Linked DNA regions of Daphnia pulex. Each later gene encodes a partner of the first gene's protein in a complex. Links are inferred from orthologs where the notes say so. Each region holds a gene or a part of one and is shown in the gene's direction. Other genes may lie near its edges.

Region 1 (3,035 bases):
GTGATAAGACATTTACGCAAGTTGCAAATATGAAGCGGGATATGCTGACTCACACATCAGAAAGCAAAGAACAACTTTATCCCGGTCCTTTTTGTGGTGTTGACTGTTGAGTTAGCATCGAAGAGCGACGTCCGAATCCATGTGGCCAAAGAACACGAGCAAAAGAATAAGAGTCAGCAGCCCAATACCACCGGATCTTCAGTAGCAGAATAAAATCCTGATTGAGAAGCTAACAATGAGTTCATAACTATTTACGCGGAGGAGGAAAAATCTATCAAGACTAAAATTGAAGGCGCAGAAACTACGTTTCTGTGGAAAAACTTTCCCCGTGCACGCTAGCCTTGAAGAGCACGTCAGGACATACACCTTAATGCATCTTTCAAAGATTTCCAGTGCGCAACGTGCGGGAAAACGTTCTGTCAAGCATCCTCTCTCAAGCTCTACCAGCACTTTTATTGGGGAATCAAACTACACACTTTCAACGTTTACCAAGCAAGTTTCCGAAAAATCAACCATCCTCCATTGAGCGGTATAATATGTGTTCTATTGTATACCAATCTTAACTGTGGTGAGTTATAAGTTTTATCGGGATTCCCCCACAAATAGTAATTATAGTTTGTTTAACAGACTTTCGGCTCAGTATTAATTTGGAAATGCTATAATAAATCATTAAGCAATTTAGCAGATAAAATGTAGCCTATCAATACCACTATTAACGGCATTGCTATTTTACATAAAATATTTTGCATCTTTCGATGTGAAATTTAGTTGTTTTCTTTTCCTTGCTTGATGAAAGTGATGCATCATTCTACGAACGGCACAGAGCACATTGTTTTTAAAATAAAGTAATGCCACCAGTGAGTAAGCACTAAGCAGGAGAGTAGGAAATGTCAAGTTCCGGGGATTTTTTTCCGATGAAAATAATATCGTTTCTCCTTTCTCTGGTTTTGTATGAAGGTAAAGATGTAAATGAATTTATTTTACTTTCAAAAACTGTTAACTTTAATTTTACTGATGAGAAAAATGAAGCTTATTATTGAGAATATTTTTATAGTATTTTTGATCTGTGATCAAATGGTCAGATGACCCAGATAACACTAATTAATTACATGTTAATTATGTACGATAATCTCGACTTTTATTAAAATTTCCTGGGAATCTGGGATTGATAGCATTTAACACTGATAATTATAATTAAAAAGCTATAATTTAAAATTCCGTTAATAAATGTTCGGCTGTTAAAAGCGCAAATAAAAACTGTGTATTAAATCAGAGTGAACTGACAAGTTTTTAATAGCATTGTTCAGCAACAAAAATTGCATATTTGATATTTCAAATGTAAAAGAAAAATTTGTCGTGTAATTTTGGATAACCATAAATCGCCCTTTGGTCAACTGCGCCCGCAGCCCGCAACGGGTAATTCATGGTTTTGTTTTTTTCCGCCAGACGGATGTTGTTTATTAAATTTTTAGAAAAATGGCGGAAAAATCGTTTTCAACCCACGTGAATCAGATTTATCTTCCTGGTGATTCGGTTACGCTCTCAAAGACAGATGAAATCTCTACTGTCAAGATTGTACTCGGGCCAGGATTGAGAAAGTATGGAAAACAGATTCTAGTTACCAAACCTGGCGTTTTACGTACAAAAGCCTCGCCGGCCACGTATTGGATAGATTGTCACCACAAACGAGTAATTTTTCACAAACTTTAGACTATTTAATTCATGTAAATCGATTCATTCACATTCTTATTATAATAGTATGTTCCAGCCAGAGGTGATGATGTCATTGGTGTGGTTACCAATAAAGTTGGAGAGTCCTACAAAGTTAACATTGGATCCAGCGAAGAAGCCTCACTCTCAAGCATTGCATTTCCTGGAGCCACCAAAAAGAATAAACCCAACATTCAAGTATTTTGATGACTGCTTTGCATTTGTGACATTGTTCTTATGTGAATTATACACACAGATTGGAGACTTGGTATTTGCCAAGTTGCTCATAGCGAGCATTGACATGGAGCCAGAGCTTGTGTGTGTCAATTCCTTAGGTGAGAATGTCGGTCTTGGTGTCTTGTCTACAAGTGGATTCCTTTTCACTGTGCCCTTACACCACATTCGCAAGTGAGTTTACATGTTTTTAAAATTAATATTATGAAGAATATTTATGACCTTAACATTTCTAGGCTCTTAAATCCAGAGTGCACACTGCTGAAATCACTGGGGAAAGCACTGTCTTTTGAAATTGCTGTTGGGATGAATGGGAAGATATGGCTAAAGGCTAAGTCTGTCAAACAAACAATTGCTCTAGCAAGGGCCATTAGCATTTCTGAACATATGAATAAAGAAGAAATGAACAAACTATGTAGAAAATTTGTAGATCGACAAGCTGGATTCTGATTCTCTCGTGATAAGTGTCAATCAATACAAAAATTTTCCAATTTCAAATGTTGAATAGTAAAAGTTCTATGGAAGAGGGAACTTCACACAGGCACATACTGAAGGTGTGCAGGCAATTTGTATCCGTCAGGTTTGTTGTCGTCAATTTTTCCTTGAAGTTCAGCAGGATCCACAGCCCTCAAACTCATTGGGATGGTATCCAGTTCTGCCATTTCTTCTGGACTCAATTCAAAGTCAAAGACCTATAAGTAACGTTGTCACCGATAATTATTAGCCCTGTGTGAAATTCCACGTAGAGATTTCTCACCTGACAATTTTCTTTAATTCTTTCCTTTTTTATGGACTTTGGTATGGTGACTACTCCGTTTTGAATGGACCACCGGATTAGGACCTGCGCGGGAGATCTGCCAGATGACTGGGCTACTTTTTCCACGGGAGGCTCCTTCAATATCATCCCGTTGGCTAGTGGACAATAGCCCTTGAATAGCAGTATACGGGTTTTACTCTGGCGATCATTGAAATGGACGGATTGGCAGCCATGTGAGTACAAACCTGGAATTCTATGTTATTTTCTCTGCAGAACGCCCTCAGTTCTTTCGGATTCTGATAGGGGTGGAACTCGCACTGATTTACCTATAGAA
Region 2 (3,448 bases), on another chromosome or scaffold:
AGCCAGTAGAGTATAACCTGATGGGATTCCACCTGCGAATCCTTTCGCCCCGAAAAAACCATTGGCCTATTGGGAATAAATCAATCAAATTAAATGGGAGAACGTTTGTTTGAATGGTGATAGGGGCTTACCAGAGGATGTGCCATGAGAATGTGAACATTTGGCTGGGACGCTTCTAGCAAACTATCCATATAGTCCTGAGTCAGGTTGAAGTACCCGGTTGCTAGACATAATTCGGCGTTTGCCGGTACGTTTTCTAGAATCTCGCGCGTCAAGATGTTATCCATGTAAATGTTTAGCTGCCCCATCTGGACGAAAGGGAAGATCCAGGTGTCGTAAGCAGACGGATTCGGCCATTGAAATATCGAGGACGAAACATTTGCTTTTATTTGCTTTTCAAACAAGTTGTTGATTCTCCGTTTTGCTTCTTCTGTAAATTCAAGCCGATTGGATTCAAACGGATGGTGAGGAAAAGCGGAATTCAAGTTAAGGCAGTTGTTTTCACTTAAATGAAATGAAAACTGGCACACAGTTTCTACTAGTTGGTCAAAGAAATCCACTAAATCTTTGCAATCTTCCATAATTATGTATCGATCTTGCCGATTTGTGAAGTAATCGTGGCTTAAATTTGCGCCACTGATTAATAAGGAATCGTCAAATATGTAAATCTTCATATGTTGCAAGCCAATAATTTCATTCCATCTTTCTGGGAGAATTTTCTTTAATAATCCTCTAAGTGCTGGAGTGTGATAAAAATGGACTGAACACTGCTGGCTGTAGGACTGAACTAAGGGAAGCAGCATTGTACGGGAATTGAATTGGGCACCTCTAGAGCCTCTTGTTGCATCCAACAGAATTCGAACTTTCAGGCTGGAGCCAGAGTTTTTCTTCAAAGTACTTTCAATTGTTTTTACAAGCTCATTTTCATGATTTCCTGTTCCAAGATATAAGGATGCAAAAGTGACTCTTTGACTTGCTTGACTAGTCTTTTCAATAAGTGTTTTGTAGAAATCTTCAGGATCAGACAAAACTCGAACCTAAGAAAAAATTTTACAACTATTACTAGAAGACACTAATAAAATACCTTATTAGAACACTAACCTTATTTCCGTTCACAGGGAAACAAGGGGTTTTACTTCCGAGCCATCTGAAATTTTCAAGGGTCGTTAACAGTTCCGTTCTCTGCTGTTCATCACTGTCGGGTTCCATTTCGGGACGATGCTGGAGATGAAGTGATCTCGAGACAAGGTTACGTTGCCAACCTCTGCGAGCAGTCTTGGGAAGGAAGTGCCAAGATACTCGTTGTCGCCCAGCAACGCATATCGTTGTTGAAAAAAGTATTGCTTTTTGGCAAATTAGTGACATTTACTTGTACGGACGAATGAAATGAATCGGCATATAAACAAACAGACATCTGATGGCAAAAATTAATACTAATGTGATTCGCGCAATGTTTTATTTGATTCGTTAAAAAAATTTCAGTTGACTTTATATTTTCCATTTCGAACATAAGTTAATTAGTCGATTTAAATTGCACAATATCATTTTGACAAGAATATCCACAAATATTTATATTCTTAAATATTTTGATATCGCCATAGCTTAGGCAACGTAGCAGCATGGTATAGCAGAACACGATGAATTATTGTCATTTTCAAGTGTGCTGTTGTTTCCTTTTTTTTGAACTTGATACATTAGGATAATTAAAACCAAAAGAATGGTAGACATTCGCCTTGCTTCTGAAGTGCCTCCTTTTCATATCGTCGCTGATTCTACTGAACCCAAACATCTTGTCACACCTGGCTCTTTGATCACAAAGGAAACAGGATTCATGAGGTAGATTGTTAAAAGTTTTGCCATTTTCTTGATGATAATCTTATTTTATGTTTTGCTAAGGGGTCATGGAACATACATGCAAGATGACTGTTTGTACTCCAGTGTTGCTGGAGTTGTGGAGAGAGTCAACCAACTTATTTCAGTTAGACCCTTGAAATCTCGTTATCATGGGGAGATTGGAGATGTCGTAATTGGTAGGGTTACTGAGGTTTCACAGAAACGTTGGAAACTGGACACCAATGCAAGATTAGATTCAGTGCTTCTTCTTCAGTCAGTCAATTTGCCTGGTGGTGAACTCGTAAGAAAGACTTTTTATTTGTGCAATTACACAAATATTTATATCTCATAATGCTTTTAGAGAAGAAGATCAGCAGAAGATGAATTAGCCATGAGGCAATACCTGAAAGAAGGAGATTTGGTCAGTGCAGAGGTTCAAAACATCTTCAATGATGGAGCTCTTTCTTTACACACCCGCAGCATGAAATATGGAAAAGTATAACAATAAGTTATTTAAAATATTAACTGTAATAACAACCATTTATCTGTTATAGCTTTCCCAAGGTTGCCTAATAAAAGTTAGTCCATCTTTGATCCGAAGACAGAAGACTCATTTCCACAACTTGCCTTGCGGAGCAAGTATCATTATGGGTAACAATGGATTTGTTTGGATCTGCCCTACGCTCCTTGACGATGGCGCCGGTGGATTTGTTCAAAACTTGGAGGTGCGTACTAAAAAGTCGATGTTTGTACATTATCACGTGGAAGCTAATTCTGTTGAAACCTATAGACAGTTCCGCATGCCGATCGACAAGCTATAAGCCGGTTAAGGAATTGTGTGACAGCTTTGGCGCACTGCAAGATGATGATCTATGATACCAGCATTATGCATGCCTACGAAGCCTCCGTAAATGCTGGGCTTGAGGTAATTATTTTTACATTGAAACTAAATAATTCAATGCTAACTTATATAATGCTTTTATGTAGATCAAGGATCTTCTCCTACCGGACAAGATAAAAGAAATCGCTTTAATGGTTCGTAAGCAGTTCGAAATGGAAAAAGAATAATTTAATTTTCGAATAAACATGGCTCAGGCTGAACCAGAAGTTGACATTCGATTTCCCAAACATTAATGGTGTGGATCAGTTTATTCATACTGCAGACAAAGTTTTATTCTGGGGCAGGGAAAAACATAAACGAAGAAACATTCGATAATAAAGGCGGTTTTTTTTTGTTTCCAACTACAACCGGTTTCCCAAGAATATTAAAATTTTGTAGACTTCATTTATAAGTCATCCCCCCCACAAATCATATTTACATTAAAACAAGTGTGCTAGAGAAAACCAGGATAAGATCTGCCGTAAGCACCACTCAACAAAATGCCCTGGGCTAGTTTTGAAACACCTAAAAAGATTATATAGGATAATAAATTACTAATGGACCCCGTTCCCTAGGTCCACCAAGGAAGGAAAAAAAAAAGATTTAACCGGAAGTCATGTTAAAGCGCTGCTTTAACAAATCAAGCAAATAATAATTAACAAAAAAAAAAAATAATGATAAATAGAAACAATGAATATCTAGCGAAATTCCGTGACGACGAATGGATAACGATTA
Region 3 (3,021 bases), on another chromosome or scaffold:
ATGGGAAAATATGGAGAAAAATTCCGAATACAACAGCTTAGCAACTTAAAAGGCAAAAATATACACGGCAAACACACTTAAGCAACGACAGTGATGACGTAATATAATCAAAACAAAAAAGCTCTCTGGTTACTACAATAAAGGCGTTGTCAGGTGTATAGTGATGCATGGACGTGGAGGTAATTGGATCGGCGTGTAATGTTCAAAAACACTTACCCGTTGATTAATAAAGTTGCAGGCCAAATCTTTGAGCGTTTTCAGCGTTAACTGGGAGGCATCCGTGGAGATAAAGTCTCGTACCAGTCCAACTTGGAACATAAAGGTCACCTGACCATTACCATCATCCATGATGGAGCTTGGATCCAAAATTTTATGAAAAACACAATCACAATTATGGCGAAGTTTGACTTTTGGATGGCAGTGAAATTCGCACACACACAAAACTGGCCCTTTTTCGTTGGAATAGTCTGTGTGGTTGGTGTGTGTGTGTGCAATCAGGTGGGAGCAATGGAGTAAAAAAAAAAAAAAAACGGGTTCCAGCAACCAACAGGTTGATTGGAATGTCACATAGCCTCGGGCTGAGATCACCTTTTCTTTCGTCGTTCTCCCGCCCTGGCACCACTTAGATTTTTCCTTTTCTTTCTTCTTCAAAGAAAAAAGGTTGGGTTTTTACCTCCACTTGATTGCACGACAAAACTGAGCAACACGACTGTTTTAAAACCAACACAGATGGGAGCAGCACAACGCGTGATAACACGTTGGTGATGAAAAAAGTCGGTGCGAATAAGAGGGACTGGCTAATGGAAATGCCCAAACTAAATTCAATTAATACGCAGGTTTCCCAATCATGATGGCACACACAAAAAATTCACGTATAAACATCACACACACACACACACACACTAGCACACTTTACGTTCTCTCGAGAAATGCAGAAACAGACTCACGTACGTGTGTGTGTGTGTTTCTGACCGTGCAGCTCAAGTCACGATAACTTGGTAGTCTGCCGAGCTAATAAATACTGTCGCTACTCGGAGATCCGTCTTTGGCTTGCTCACAATTTTCTGGCCAAAAACAGCGTTGCCATTCTCTCGTGACTGAACGAACGAAATCCATGAAAAATACATATTCATAGCTACATTGGAAAATTGTGAATTTTTCAGGTCTTCTTTATTACAAATATAATAGTTGTTTTAAATTCATGGAGTTAAAAGTTATATTTTGTGTGATTAAGTAAATGGTTGCCATGGTAACTTAGAGACATCTGCAGACTGCTGTTGCCGACCCGTCAACCCCATGTATTTTTTACGATCACGTTGCTTATGCAGAAACAGGGCTGCGTTCTTAATCTGAATTATTGAATACTTTTTCAATCACAAAGAATTGCTTGCAATATTATTATTCGCCATGGAGACTGAAGAGAATAGCATTCGTGCTTTAAAGTGCGAACAAAGCGTACTGTCACGTGCAGATGGCTCGGTGATGTTTTCTCAAGGTAAGTTTAGATTTGTAACTTTTTCCACGCTGTTTTCGTGTTATTTTGTCCAAGTCGGTAAATTTTATTTTATTGACTTGTCATTTCAGGGAATACTGTGGTAATGGCTTCAGTTTATGGACCTTTGGAGGCTAAAATTCAAAAGGAACTGTCCGATAGAATGTACATTGAACTAAACTACAAGCCAAAAACAGGAATGCCAGGTTATTAATAACTTATCCTGTGTATTATTATTTCTGTAATATTGAATGCATTTTTATTTAGGTGTTGCTGAGCGTGGAAAGGAGAAACTCATCAAGACCACTTGTAATCACATTATTTTGACGAACCTGCACCCTCGAACAGCTGTCTGCATAACAGTTCAAGAAATGCAAGATGGTGGAACTGTAAGCACTTACCACAACAAATTTATTTTGATCAAGAATTAGTTGTTCACATTTTCCATAAACTAGTTGCTAGCAGCCTCCATCAATGCTGTGTGCCTTGCACTTCTTGACTCGGGTTTACCCCTGCAGTGTCTTGTAGCTGCAGTGACTTGTTTGGTAGACAAGAAGGATAGAATTGTCCTAGACCCATGCATCAGCACAGTCAAAGTATGATTTCCACTAAGAATTAACTAATTTTTTTCCCCCATTTTTTGTTGTTGTGCCTAACTTACTTTTTTCCCCATTACAGGAAGGTTATAAAGCAATGTTTACCTTTGCTTTTGACAGTCAAAAATACAACTTAATTCTGAGCCACTGTGAAGGCCAAGTTCCCTATCAACTTTTTCAAAAAGCCATGGAGCTGTGTCAGAAAGCCAGTCACGTCATCTTTGATTTCTACCGGCAAGCAGTACTACGAAAGTTTTCCAACGAACTTCTGTAAAACTTTCAAAAAATACACATTTTAAAGTTTTGTATATGCGACTGAAAACAAAGTATAATTGTATAAGTATAGGCTTGCTTATTTCCAGTATCGTTAAATTTCTTCGGAAAACCAATCCATCCTAATATGTCATGCGCATCTAGCAATACTCGAGTAATCACGTTCACCAAAACTATATCTAGAAGGTTTCCTGCCCGGAGCTTGGCTCCAATGCAATGCGGTACAATTTTGACACAAGTTATTTAGGTATAGTAAAAGTGCCGATTGTGAAATCAGAAAAAAAATAAACTTAACTTTGAAACAAACTCTTCTTAGAATGACATATGGTAGGTAGTTCTACCATTTTTAGGATTTATTCGGTCGGAAAATGTAGCATAAAGGAATTTCTTTTATGGTTATTCTGAAAATTTATTTCAAGGTGGTCTGGATATATCGAGTGCGATTTCAGCCTTTACGGTAATAGGCCTTGAAATGTTTTTCTCAATTAGAAAGTTTAGCCAATTAGGCTGTCAAGTCAAAGTCAACACAAATAAAGCAATTCTAAATTTAAGTCATGTATCACCTGATTCCAGTTTCGAGTTATTTTCCGATTGTTCCATTTCAGTAGCAATCGTAATCATGATTGTGGCTAAGTAAACGTTATCTTGTGTGTGGTGTCC

Evidence for each region.
Region 2: exosome complex component RRP40-like (region 1) and exosome complex component RRP4-like share a complex: the UniProt entries of both Homo sapiens proteins name them as parts of the RNA exosome core complex. The link is inferred for Daphnia pulex from reciprocal best matches to the Homo sapiens genes EXOSC3 and EXOSC2.
Region 3: exosome complex component RRP40-like (region 1) and exosome complex component RRP46-like share a complex: the UniProt entries of both Homo sapiens proteins name them as parts of the RNA exosome core complex. The link is inferred for Daphnia pulex from reciprocal best matches to the Homo sapiens genes EXOSC3 and EXOSC5.

Annotation. Positions count from the first base shown.
Region 1 is NC_060019.1:5,882,298-5,885,332, reverse strand, and holds the end of exosome complex component RRP40-like, read left to right. Parts: 5' UTR 1-1,476; coding exon 1,477-1,689; intron 1,690-1,758; coding exon 1,759-1,908; intron 1,909-1,966; coding exon 1,967-2,118; intron 2,119-2,180; coding exon 2,181-2,394; 3' UTR 2,395-2,442; downstream 2,443-3,035. Other genes in the region: uncharacterized oxidoreductase ZK1290.5-like, read right to left, coding at 2,478-2,636, 2,702-2,872, 2,947-3,027. UniProt on the Homo sapiens protein: Non-catalytic component of the RNA exosome complex which has 3'->5' exoribonuclease activity and participates in a multitude of cellular RNA processing and degradation events.
Region 2 is NC_060023.1:8,701,397-8,704,844, reverse strand, and holds exosome complex component RRP4-like, read left to right. Parts: upstream 1-1,603; 5' UTR 1,604-1,717; coding exon 1,718-1,836; intron 1,837-1,896; coding exon 1,897-2,134; intron 2,135-2,194; coding exon 2,195-2,329; intron 2,330-2,387; coding exon 2,388-2,558; intron 2,559-2,623; coding exon 2,624-2,758; intron 2,759-2,820; coding exon 2,821-2,901; 3' UTR 2,902-2,934; downstream 2,935-3,448. Other genes in the region: CDP-diacylglycerol--glycerol-3-phosphate 3-phosphatidyltransferase, mitochondrial-like, read right to left, coding at 1-66, 132-1,037, 1,102-1,365. UniProt on the Homo sapiens protein: Non-catalytic component of the RNA exosome complex which has 3'->5' exoribonuclease activity and participates in a multitude of cellular RNA processing and degradation events.
Region 3 is NC_060020.1:3,912,809-3,915,829, forward strand, and holds exosome complex component RRP46-like, read left to right. Parts: upstream 1-1,258; 5' UTR 1,259-1,407; coding exon 1,408-1,495; intron 1,496-1,584; coding exon 1,585-1,698; intron 1,699-1,759; coding exon 1,760-1,881; intron 1,882-1,947; coding exon 1,948-2,088; intron 2,089-2,170; coding exon 2,171-2,362; 3' UTR 2,363-2,396; downstream 2,397-3,021. Other genes in the region: serine/threonine-protein kinase D1-like, read right to left, coding at 217-348. UniProt on the Homo sapiens protein: Non-catalytic component of the RNA exosome complex which has 3'->5' exoribonuclease activity and participates in a multitude of cellular RNA processing and degradation events.